Arabidopsis thaliana: one gene and its partner. The protein of the gene in region 2 interacts with the protein of the main gene of each other region in a biochemical or structural test. Each region holds a gene or a part of one and is shown on either strand. Other genes may lie near its edges.

Region 1 (7,182 bases), on a different chromosome or scaffold from region 2:
TCTTTGTTTTTTGTTTCTTGCAATTCAAATGATTATAGATTAAACAATTCACTATATTTTCTCTTAAAAAAAAATTTTCAAATTAAGTGATTTTTTTTCATTTTACTAAAGAAATTCTATTTTTTGTGACCATTTTTATTTTCATATTGTGTCAGTTTTTTTTTAATTACTAGATAAACAGTTTAATTTTATGGTAGAAAATCGATTAATACTGTAATAGTAAACCGTAAAAAACCAAAAAGTGTGTATACAAGTCTGTTATTGAAAGTATTCACTTGATTACGAACGAAGTTAAGAAAATCATAACTACAACATGAGAATAGAGAAAGATCATCCGTTCGCGGATTCAAGAAGGACACACTAGCATCCTTGCTTGGCACAGTATATGTGCGTGGGGATACCCGTAGAGACATGACAACCGGACTGCTGAGACAACCTCAAAGAGAGTATATTCAAAATCCGGTGATTAGATTTATTTAGTATCATGACAACTTAGGGTTGCTTAGGGTTGATGTTTATTTTGATTCCAATCTTGTTTACACTTTATAAGCAGCGACCACAAAACAACATATATCAAAAATCAAATCATGCTAGTACACACACATTCACACGGCATTTAAGGTTGTAAAGTCACTTACAAAATAACCAAAAAACAAAACAATAAAAAACTGAGAAAGAACAAATTAATCAATTATTGCGTTAGGGTTTTGGAGTTGGGAAAACCCCAGTGTACTCAAACGAATCCCTACCATAAGGATCACCAGATGCTTCCTCGTATGTTGCTGAATCGGCGTTAGGGTTTAATCCAACAAGCCGCAATATGCTCTCAAGTTCTTGCACCACCTCACTCATTGTTGGCCTATTAACTCCCTCTGGCTCCACGCATTGTAGAGCCACATCTACATACTTCTCGAACCCTTTCAAATTCCCGCTGTTTTGGATAATTGTCGTGTCCAACAATTCTTGTAAGTCATACAAGTTCCTCGATTTATCCATCTTCTTCTTTACCTCTTTCACAACATAGCTGCCTCTATCTATCGGACTTTTACCGGTTAATAACTCAAGCATCACCACACCAAACCCATACACATCGCTCTTCTCCGTCAATTGATTCGTCATGTAGTACTCAGGATCAAGATAGCCCTAATTAATTCCAGAGATATTGTTAGTTTTTATAGTTAATGGTTTCATATATTTTATGATAGATTCTTTTTTACTCACCATGGTTCCTTTCACTTGTGTTGTGACATGAGCTTTTTCAGGGTCCCCCACAAGTTTGGAGAGACCGAAATCAGCAACCTTTGCGGTTAGATGTTCATCAAGTAATATGTTATTTGATTTGACGTCTCTATGTATAATTGGAGGATCAGCAAGCTCATGAAGATAAGCTAGACCCTTCCCTGAGCCAAGTGCTATTTTGAGCCTTCTTGTCCAATCCAGTTTAACCCCATTCTTCCCTACATTTGTTTTTCAAGTTCAGCACCAAAGAACTAACAAAGCAAGATATATAGAGATTAAATATATACCTGATAGACCGTCTCTAAGGGACCCATTAGGTATGTACTCGTATACGAGCATTTGTTCTTTTTGATCAAAACAGAAGCCCAAAAGCTTAACAACATTTTTATGATGGACCCTTGAAAGAAGCTCAATCTCGGTCTTAAACTCGAACGCTCCTTGCATGGATCCTTGTTGAGCTCTTTTGATTGCTATGACTTGCCCATTGGGAAGGGTACCTTTGTAGACCTGTTTCACCATCAAATTGGTATTATAATTTGAACTACTACCTCTGGTTGTTTCAGTTGAGGACATTGGAAATACACAAACCTGGCCATAACCTCCACCGCCAACATCATTTGCATCTGAAAAGTTGTTAGTACATTTGCTAAGCTCTTCGAAAGTAAAGGCTTTTGTTCCCATTAGTTGTGGAGCATCCATTTCATTCTTCCCCGCATCCCACTTGGCTACAACAGACAAACGAGAAGCTGTCAGGATTTTCATAAGACAAGAGAAAAGTCTTTTGTTCTAGTGTTAAACCATTTTTCTTTTACCAAAAGGATTCATTTGATCAGTTGCTCTCTGAGCTCTCTTCTTCTGTCTAAGAGCGTAAATCCCAGCTAAAGCCAACAGCAACAGAAGAACTACAACACCAACTACTACTCCAATTATAACTTTCATACTTACTGTCTTGGAATCTTCTAAATCTGTGAAACAAACAAGGCTTATAAGTAAAATGAGTTAAATCAATATAGATTTCGTTTGAGTGTGTGTTACGTTTCATCATACCAGAGAATGTTTTGTACTGATCGGCGACGAAAATATAAGGACCAAATCTTGGAGGAGGCTTATAATCCTGAATGGTAAATGCAGAATTAATAGAGTCCATTTCCGTCTGATTAAAGCGGTCGCGTCCCGATGGAAAGATCAAGAGATTTATCAAAAGATGATAATCAGTTGGATTCTCGCTTATGTTTCTCATGGCCACAGAGTCTACAGGATACTTGCCATTCTTAAAGAAAGTCATTAAACTCTCCCCAAACTTTAGGAAGTTACTGTTGTTTGAAAATCCGGAGAATGAAGGAGACCTTAAGGTGAATACTCCTGTAAGTGGATACACACAGTGGCAGCCTTGATTCGGTTCCTTACCTTTACCACAATGATTACCACATTTTGTTAGGGTAGAAAATGTGGAATTTGGTTGGACTGCATTGCAGTAGCCACTCAGCTGATTCGCCGGGTCTTGGCACACTTGATTATCTGCCAACCTATGGATATATCAACACACATACGTAAGTTATTCTTCAAAGATGTTACATATTGGTCAAAGATGAATACATACATTACATTGACGGGGTTATTAGCTGGTGATTTATAACCAGTTATGAAGTTGTCTCGTAAATCCACAAAATCCAATTGTTTGCTATAGTTGGTACCAAGGTCCAATGTTGTGTTTATAAGATTGTGCTTTAGGGAACTGCAAGTCAAGAAAAACCATCCCAATCAGTACATGTTTCACAAATCTTTGAGTTGACTTTCCAATTGAACATTCATGATCATGACTTATTTGACTCACACAGTTTGCAATTGAAGAGGGCTAAAAAGGGAGGTTGGTACTGGACCATCAAGTTGGATATCTTCCAACCTTCTGCCAAGTTGAAGACCATTTTTTCTCATTATGTATGCTCACAAATCTATATATATCTAAAAAGAGAGAGGAATGCTCATACAATGTTGACAAAGAGTTTAAGAAAGGGATCCATGATGGAACCGGTGATAACGCCAACGGGTTATTGCTCACATCCCTGTTACATAATAATCATATCATGGCATTAGATTGATTATTAATAAGAAAGGTTTCTGATGCTAAATTTGAGCAACAAACGAGGAAGAAAAATATTGAAACTTACAATGTGTAGAGACTGGTCAAGCTGGTCAAATTTGGAAGACTACCTGTAAATTTGTTGTCGGACAAATGCCTGAAATGGATTCAACTACAAGATCTTTTACATCTTTTCATTTATATATCTTAAGAAAACAGAACAAATCTTTATTTGCTCACTTACAGTTCTTGAAGATTTGTGAGATTATTAAGACTTGAAGGAATGTCTCCACTTAGTCTATTCCTATCAAGACGTCTGTAACAAAGCAAATATCTTATAAGATTAAAGAAATTTTGTGAACATACAGTTTGGAAAATATATTTCTACTACTTACAACACAGTCAAATTTTGAACTAGGCCGAGGCTCTCTGGGATGCTACCGGTGAATTGGTTTCCATCAAACAGCCTATTGATAAAACAAGAACAAAAATGCAATCATCACTTTGTTAGTTTCTAATATCAACTAGTGAAAACTCTCAGCTTTTGCATGTACTATGAAACTTACACATGTAGCAAAGTCATTTCTGAGCTAAAGAGCTTCTCTGGGATTTCGCCTGAAAGCTTGTTATTACCAAAATGACTACAAAAGAAAGTAAAAGAGAGTCAGAGTGATGAATGTTATATATAAAGAGTAACTAAATAAAAATGAAAACTAAGGATTTGGGATTATATATACAAATGCCCAGTTTGAAGAAGCATGTCAAGTCCAGGTAAAGAAGCCCCATCAGAAACTGGAAGCTTTCCTTCTAACTGATTGTCAGCTATGTCGAACCAATATAGTTTCGATAACCGTCCCATGGAAGCCGGAATTGTTCCACTAAATTTATTTAAATTCAGAGAGCTGTATGGAGGAAACGCAAAGTAATACTTATTATGAGTTTTAAAGATTACATTGAAAAAGTGACTGTTTATAAATTATAAGAAGCAACAAATCTTACAGTCTTGTAAGTTGTTCAAGATTCCCTATGGAATCAGGGATTGGACCATTAAAAGCACATCCCATAAGGCTCCTAGAGAAGAAAACAACAAAAGAAAAGGCGATATATAAGATAATGCGATTGATGGAATTAGGTTAAGATCTTGTTTACTTTGCTTACAAGAAAGTCAACTTCCTGAGGTTACCGATATTTGCTGGAAGCGGTCCAGACAATTCAGGATTGCCAGTCAAATCCCTGCAAACATCGAATCATAAGATGAGAACTAAATCCATTTTTATGCAAAGGAAAAAGAAGAAGAAGAAAGACCTACAAGGTTTGCAATTCAGACAATGTCGAAATTTCGGTAGGAAGCTTTCCTTTCAAGTTACGGTTGGTTAATGATCTGAAACAAGCAAATAACACAGCTTAAAGTCTGTATATAGAGGATTATATTGAAGAAAGAAGCAGCAAAAGAACAAACAAAGAAAGGGACCAAGGTGTTACATTGAAACAACACGGTTATCGTTGTTACATGTAATTCCAACCCATTCGGTTCCACAAGGATCAGAGCTTTTCCAACTCTTGGATAACGTGTCCCATTCGTTCTTCAGGGCTTGTAAAGCAGTAACTGCACCAATATTGAAAGAATTAAAATACAAAAAATTGGAAATCTTTATCTGTTAAAAGAACTCTGATCATCATCTACTTATACTTACAATCTGAACCATCTGTGAACGCATAAACAGAGTAAATTTGGAAGAAAAGCAAGATCAAGAGCTTAAATAATCCAATTCTTGAACTCATCTTCATCAGACACACAATGATATGTATCACAATTCGTTCAAGAAGAAAGCATGTGGTCTGCACAAGTTATGACGAACTCTAACATAAAAATGCAGCCTCCATGTTCTTTGCTAACAAAGCATGTAAGACATAAAGGAGAAGACTTTGAACAAGTTAAGCGAAAATTTATAAATAAAGCAAACAAATAGACAGTGGACCATATAAACAAATAGTTCAACTTGATATAGATAATAAAGAACCGCTATATATTGCGGAAGGGTTCAAAGGTATTATCCAAGGGAGAAATTGAAATGTCAATACGGTAATGTGGAGGAACAAATTATGAACAATGACTTGGCACAAAACACCATTATAATAGACTAGTCCTTTATTAACTACATAAATAAATCTGTTTACATGATAAAGCATAAATATGCAATATGTAACAAAACTTAACTAAATGATCTAACATTTAATTGTTTCTGCACAAAACTGGGAGAAGTCATGTATATATTATTTGTTTTCCTAGAACGTTTCTTCTCAAGAAAAGAGAGATTTTTGAAATAGAGTAATGGTAAGCGACTATGCACTGATATGGTTTTTCTAACAGCAACATGCAATAAAGTCATGGTCATGGAAAAAATCAGCACAAGCTTTTATCAACTTGAGATAATAATACTAATTGCAACAACAATGAATGATGCTGATGGTTTGATGTTATATTGACCAGTACTTCCTCCAAGTAAATTAATAAAAAAAATATTTTTTGTTTTCAGTGTACCCCAAATTGATTAAAAATTAATCGATTTTTTTTTTTTGCCCATATCATATTCTCCGATCAATATACTCCAAACCGACGGAAAACTCAGAGATGGGATGGGACCTTGACCACTCTGACATATGACCACATCGTCTATTTTTTTCCTACGTATGTATGCTAATGCTATTTGGCCACATCCCACCACTTTTCTTATTTTTTTTGTATGTTATTTTTGTTTTGTTAGTGTTTTAGTAAAAAGACTTTTTGTAGTAAATAAGACACAAAAACATATGTGTGCTTTAATCCTCTTAAGAAACTAATACGATATGACTCCGGTATAAAAAAAGTTATGAGTCTACCGTAGTCTACCGTAAAGAATGGTAAATGGAGGAAACATATCGAGAAAAACTTGGTGCCGGTTCGCTACCTCACCATGAAATATATGGCAGAGTTGCCACACACCACATGTCTTAAATCATGTTTCTTTTTATTTTTTGTTAAATCATGTCATACATTTTGGGGGCGTGTTTGAGGTGTGGACAACAAGGACACTAGATCAGAGAGTGCTCTCAGATGAGACGACAACCATAAATTCACCCTGGGTCATGTAACTGTTGTTGTTCGATGGGATCGTTGATGTGTTAGGTTGCAAACCCAATAACTTTATTACTTTTTTTTCTTATTAGTTAATACTAATTTTACTTACGTACTACAAATTATTTGTAATATAAATTTGTAATATAATCTCATGCATAAATGTGAAAGGTTTGGAGTAAATTAAAAGTGTGTGTGATGTGTGGATTAAATCTTTGAAACCACACAAACTTCTCAACAAGAATTAATATATTCAATTATTCATCATACATTGAGCTTGATTACTTTTCTTATGTTTGAAACTGGTGTCGACATTGCCAAAGATCTGGTGGTTTTTGATTCTGCGTTTGGCTCTCCATTCATCTGCTTTATAATCAGCGACCACATATCAAACAGAATCATGCTACTCCACATTCACAAGGCATTTCAAGTATGAAGTCACTTACGAAATAACAAAATAACAAAAAGAAACATAATCAATCATTGGGGCTCAAGCTTTGAAGCTGGAAAATTCCCACTGTACTGAAACGATTCACTGCCATAAGGATCACCAGATCCTTTGATTGCGTCCTCATACGTTCTTGAACTCGTTGCTGAATCTGAGTTAGGATTTAATCCCGCAAGCTGCATTATGTTCTCAATCTCTTTCACAACCTCACCCATTGATGGCCTATTAACTCCTTCCTCCTCCACACATCTCAAAGCCAAGTCTACATACTTCTCGAACCCTTTTAGATTCCCACTGCTT
Region 2 (5,270 bases):
AAAAGTGAGTAAATAGAATTTATACATAATGATCTAATCTTGATCTTGCTAATAAAAATTGTAAAGGCAACAACAAGTTGTCAAAAATTTCAATTTGACGTAGAGATAAATTCTATCTAATAATTTTGTAAAAACATTCGAGATATAGTGTATCATTTTTCCATCATCTAGAACTCATTTGCGTATTTTCAAGTGTAAATCAGAACCTTGACACATAGGCTACACAAATTTTGGTCGATATTTATATTACTTTTGTAGCATAATGTGGATATCCTTCTAGAGACTAGAGTTCTAGATAAAACATTCATACATGTAACTATGTAAGTAAGCATGCATACTAAATATAAAATTTTCAAAAGTTTTAAAAGACATCATATAGATTCAAAAAGACGTGGGAAAAAGGAGAAAATGACAAAAGTTATTAGTAAAACAATCAAGTAAAAGGTCAAAGTAGTTAACGAAAAGATAAAAGTATTTCAAAAGTCTTCCTTCCATCTTGAAATGCCAAAAAATAAAAGACGAATGATTGAAGATAAATCAAAGTTGTCTGATTGCTATTGTATACATCTTTTTTTTTGTTAAAACTATTGTATACATCTAAAAAACCTTGAAGTAATCAAGATCTGAATTATAGCCGTTGATAAGGTTTTATGCTTTCACATTGAACTCGATCGTCGTCGTCAAATCTACTAGTCTCGTTTTTTAGTTTTAACGTGCTTAATTACTTCACTAATTTGTTTTTTGTTATCATTTTCACCAATTTTATTCATTGTGTGAATTAAGTTTTGTCCACATAGTAAGATTCATCAGTATAATAGGACATATGATAAAAGTTTGTATATAATCAAAGAGTATATCTAAGAATATCTAATTAAGATGAATGTTTCAGTCCACATTGGATTCTGCTTATAGTCAAACTGTCTTGTTCTTAAACCCAATTAGGTTAGAATACATGTACCAACAAATAGCATTTCTATAACTAATCTTTTATCAATTTACTTTATAGCCTACAAATAATTAGAGGAAAAGAAAAGAGAGTTAGTGGAATAATTGTCCTCTAAATCTCGATATCATCATTAACTAAATACTATATTTAGACCATATATACTATATTTTATAGTATACTATATTTTATAGTATATATAATCAACTAATCATATTAGACCACTATTAGAAATATGGATCTAAAAAAAACATTCTTTAATCAGTACTATTCTCATCCAAAGACTTGTTTTAAGAGACTAAATATGAATATGTGTATGTGTATGTGTATGCAGGAGTAGACACGTGCACGTGGCACATGCAGGGAATGGGAAGGTGGAGTGTTGACAAAGAAGAAGAGGATGATCCAAGTTTCGAAATGATTCCAAAAGTTATGAACTATAAGCCAAAGTGCTCAATCGCCAAACATGAACTTAAATAAACTTCACTCGTTAGATCGTTTTCTCACATTAAAGCCGCTCTACACTTTTACCCATTTTACCATTTATAATAACCACCACACATAGATATTAAGTTCTATGGATTTTATTCGTAAACTTAAGTTATGATCAAATAGCTAAATGATTTTGCGATTTGCCCGAGTTCTGTTTGTTTCTAAAATGGTTATCCAAAAAGCATATTTTTGTTTTATATAGAATTTGTGATATAGAAGAAATATACTAAAAATGTTTTAAAGTCTGTCTAAATCATAAACCAATGCAAAGAAAGTGAAATAAACCAAGATCTCGAGCAATAGACATAATAAATAAACAAACACCTAATAACATCACATCCCCACTAACAAATGTGAACATTAACTGTTAAAAATCACCAAAAAAGTCATCAAGATTTGGCTTTCCTTTTCAAAAGCAGTATACGTCTCTGTCTCACACAGACAGTGTATTCAATGCGTTGTGTTGTCTTCCCACTTTTCACCAGCTGAGGTTCTGCTTCTTTCTCTTCTTCTCTCCAAAACAAGAAAATTCTGCAGAATAACTTTTCATTCACGAGAGTGGAAGGTTACAGTTTTCCAAATCCGAGAAACAGACACAAAATTGGTCCCTCTCTAAAAGTTACTATCTTCGTTTAACAAAGAGATAGCTCCCAATCCAGTACAAAACAGAGTACTCTGCTCTATAAATTTCGTTCCTTTATTACTCTGCTCTATAAAACAGATTATTCTGCTCTATAAGAGAGATAGATAAATGAGCTAAAGCTCAGTAATTTCTAAACAGAGAGACAAGAAAATTCAAGAATGGTTACCTTATGTGCCACGTTACTGATCCTTCTCTCAATCTTTCTTGCAACTCCGTCGAATGTTCGAGGAAATGCAGAGCTGAAGGCTTTAATGGAGCTGAAATCGTCGCTTGACCCTGAAAACAAGCTTCTCCGTTCATGGACGTTTAACGGCGATCCATGCGACGGATCTTTCGAAGGAATTGCATGTAACCAGCATCTAAAAGTCGCAAACATATCATTACAAGGGAAACGTTTGGTCGGAAAATTGTCTCCGGCGGTTGCAGAGCTCAAATGTTTGTCAGGTCTTTACTTACATTACAATAGTCTCTCTGGAGAGATACCTCAAGAGATCACAAATCTTACTGAATTATCAGATCTTTATCTCAATGTTAATAACTTCTCTGGTGAGATTCCGGCAGATATCGGCTCCATGGCTGGCTTGCAAGGTTAGCATCTTATAATGTTTCACAGATCTTTCACTTGAATGTTTACTCGATCTTCCATTTGAATGTTTTGTGGTGTCTTTTGTTGCAGTTATGGATCTTTGTTGCAACAGTTTAACAGGGAAGATACCAAAGAACATTGGATCCTTGAAGAAACTTAATGTGTTGTCTCTGCAACACAACAAACTAACCGGAGAGGTTCCTTGGACTTTAGGAAACTTGAGTATGTTAAGCAGGCTTGATTTAAGCTTCAACAATCTGTTAGGTTTAATCCCAAAAACCCTAGCCAACATTCCTCAGTTGGACACTCTTGACTTGCGCAACAATACTCTCTCTGGCTTTGTTCCTCCTGGTGAGTTAATGATTCTTGAAACGTCTTTGTAAGAGCTTATCTCTCTGTTTCTTGACTCGGTTTTTTCTTCGTTATGTTTCTTCAAAGGTCTTAAGAAGTTGAATGGGAGCTTCCAGTTTGAGAACAACACCGGGTTATGTGGTATCGATTTTCCTTCTTTGAGAGCTTGTTCTGCTTTCGATAATGCGAATAATATCGAACAATTTAAGCAGCCTCCTGGTGAAATAGACACTGATAAATCAGCTCTTCACAACATTCCCGAGTCTGTATATCTCCAAAAGCATTGCAACCAAACACATTGCAAGAAATCCTCATCGAAACTCCCACAAGTTGCTTTGATTTCAAGCGTGATTACCGTCACTATAACATTGATTGGTGCTGGTATATTGACCTTCTTTCGCTACAGAAGAAGGAAGCAAAAGATCAGTAACACACCTGAGTTTTCCGAGGGAAGACTAAGCACAGATCAACAAAAAGAGTTCCGTGCATCGCCTTTAGTGAGTCTTGCCTACACTAAAGAATGGGATCCGCTAGGTGATAGCAGAAACGGAGCTGAGTTTTCACAAGAGCCTCATCTCTTTGTTGTAAATAGTAGCTTCAGGTTTAACTTAGAAGACATTGAATCAGCAACCCAATGCTTCTCAGAAGCTAATCTATTGAGCAGAAACAGCTTCACCTCAGTGTTCAAAGGAGTCCTCAGAGATGGTTCTCCGGTAGCTATCAGAAGCATCAACATAAGCAGTTGCAAGAACGAAGAAGTCGAATTCATGAACGGTTTAAAGCTTTTATCTTCGTTGTCACACGAAAACTTAGTGAAGCTACGTGGATTCTGCTGTTCTAGAGGCAGAGGAGAGTGTTTCCTCATCTATGATTTTGCTTCAAAAGGAAAGCTTTCAAATTTTCTTGACTTACAAGAACGCGAAACTAATCTGGTCCTTGCTTGGTCTGCAAGAATCTCCATCATCAAAGGGATTGCAAAAGGTTAAGTATTTGAAATATCACTTCTTTGAGTTCAAGGAACAAAATGTATTTAATACACAAATTTCTTGCAGGTATTGCTTACTTACATGGAAGTGATCAACAGAAGAAGCCTACAATAGTTCATCGAAACATCTCTGTCGAAAAAATCCTACTTGATGAACAATTTAACCCGTTAATCGCTGATTCGGGTCTTCACAACCTTCTAGCAGACGATATGGTCTTCTCAGCACTCAAAACAAGTGCAGCAATGGGATATTTAGCTCCGGAATACGTCACAACCGGAAAATTCACCGAGAAAACCGATATTTTCGCCTTTGGAGTCATCATTCTCCAGATACTCTCTGGTAAGCTCATGCTTACAAGTTCACTGAGAAATGCAGCTGAAAATGGAGAACATAACGGGTTCATCGATGAAGATCTTCGTGAAGAGTTTGATAAACCAGAGGCGACTGCAATGGCGAGGATTGGGATAAGCTGTACACAGGAGATACCAAACAATAGGCCTAATATAGAGACATTGCTTGAGAATATAAACTGTATGAAGAGTGAATGACTCTGCTTTTTAATTAGTATCTTTGTGCAAGTATGATTCTCCGGTTAGCTGTGTCCCACCAATTGGTTTTGTTTGTTTTAGTTCTCTCCAGTAAGAACCGGGTCCGGTTTATATTTTATTTAGATTTGTAGCTGAGAATTGAAGCTTTAATCAGTTAGCTATATGATTATAAGCAACGAAGAACTGATTAATGTAACAAAAGATACATATATAATAATCATCAAGGAGCAGTGTTTAAAACCCTCAAATCATGTCATCATACAGTTACAGTAATGATGATGCAACCTAAGTAAAGTAATTAGTCTTTGGTTACATTCACTAAAGATTTTCGAAACCATACATATAGGCGGAGATTAGTTTGTACCATGTCCTCTTACATTCATTGCAGCTTTCGGTCTTCGGGATGATTCTGCTCGTGCATGAGAAGGACTTGGATCAGTCGAGGGAAGTAACATTGGTTGCTCTCTGTTCACAAGACCACCTGCAAGAACATCAAAGAGATGATTTATCTTTGTTCACAAAGAAACGTACAACACGAAAACTTGACCGTGTAATAGGACTGCTTACTTCCAAATGAACCAGAGCGACTGGGTAACTGCATTTGCCTTCTAGCATTTCCACTCCAAGACTGTTCAAAACCAGCCAATTCATCTGCAGAATTTTGCAATTGAAAGCAAACGGTATATAAGGATATTTCATCCACAATAGAACATTTATGAAG

What was found.
Region 1: the proteins of AT4G22730 (region 2) and AT5G49770 form a complex in vitro, tested with the Arabidopsis thaliana proteins (one large-scale study listed by BioGRID).

What each region holds. Positions count from the first base shown.
Region 1 is NC_003076.8:20,220,785-20,227,966, reverse strand, and holds AT5G49770 (Leucine-rich repeat protein kinase family protein), read right to left. Parts: upstream 5,299-7,182; 5' UTR 5,108-5,298; coding exon 5,014-5,107; intron 4,926-5,013; coding exon 4,802-4,925; intron 4,701-4,801; coding exon 4,629-4,700; intron 4,553-4,628; coding exon 4,478-4,552; intron 4,391-4,477; coding exon 4,319-4,390; intron 4,222-4,318; coding exon 4,057-4,221; intron 3,961-4,056; coding exon 3,886-3,960; intron 3,787-3,885; coding exon 3,715-3,786; intron 3,636-3,714; coding exon 3,564-3,635; intron 3,477-3,563; coding exon 3,408-3,476; intron 3,303-3,407; coding exon 3,228-3,302; intron 3,146-3,227; coding exon 3,074-3,145; intron 2,975-3,073; coding exon 2,840-2,974; intron 2,766-2,839; coding exon 2,287-2,765; intron 2,205-2,286; coding exon 2,052-2,204; intron 1,965-2,051; coding exon 1,828-1,964; intron 1,747-1,827; coding exon 1,527-1,746; intron 1,458-1,526; coding exon 1,222-1,457; intron 1,144-1,221; coding exon 700-1,143; 3' UTR 501-699; and 1 more. Other genes in the region: AT5G49760 (Leucine-rich repeat protein kinase family protein), read right to left, coding at 6,915-7,182.
Region 2 is NC_003075.7:11,939,148-11,944,417, forward strand, and holds AT4G22730 (Leucine-rich repeat protein kinase family protein), read left to right. Parts: upstream 1-1,853; 5' UTR 1,854-2,236; coding exon 2,237-2,666; intron 2,667-2,754; coding exon 2,755-3,015; exon of another isoform or gene 3,016-3,102; coding exon 3,103-3,996; coding exon of another isoform or gene 3,997-4,001; intron 4,002-4,067; coding exon 4,068-4,549; 3' UTR 4,550-4,738; downstream 4,739-5,270. Other genes in the region: AT4G22740 (glycine-rich protein), read right to left, coding at 4,903-5,030, 5,117-5,200.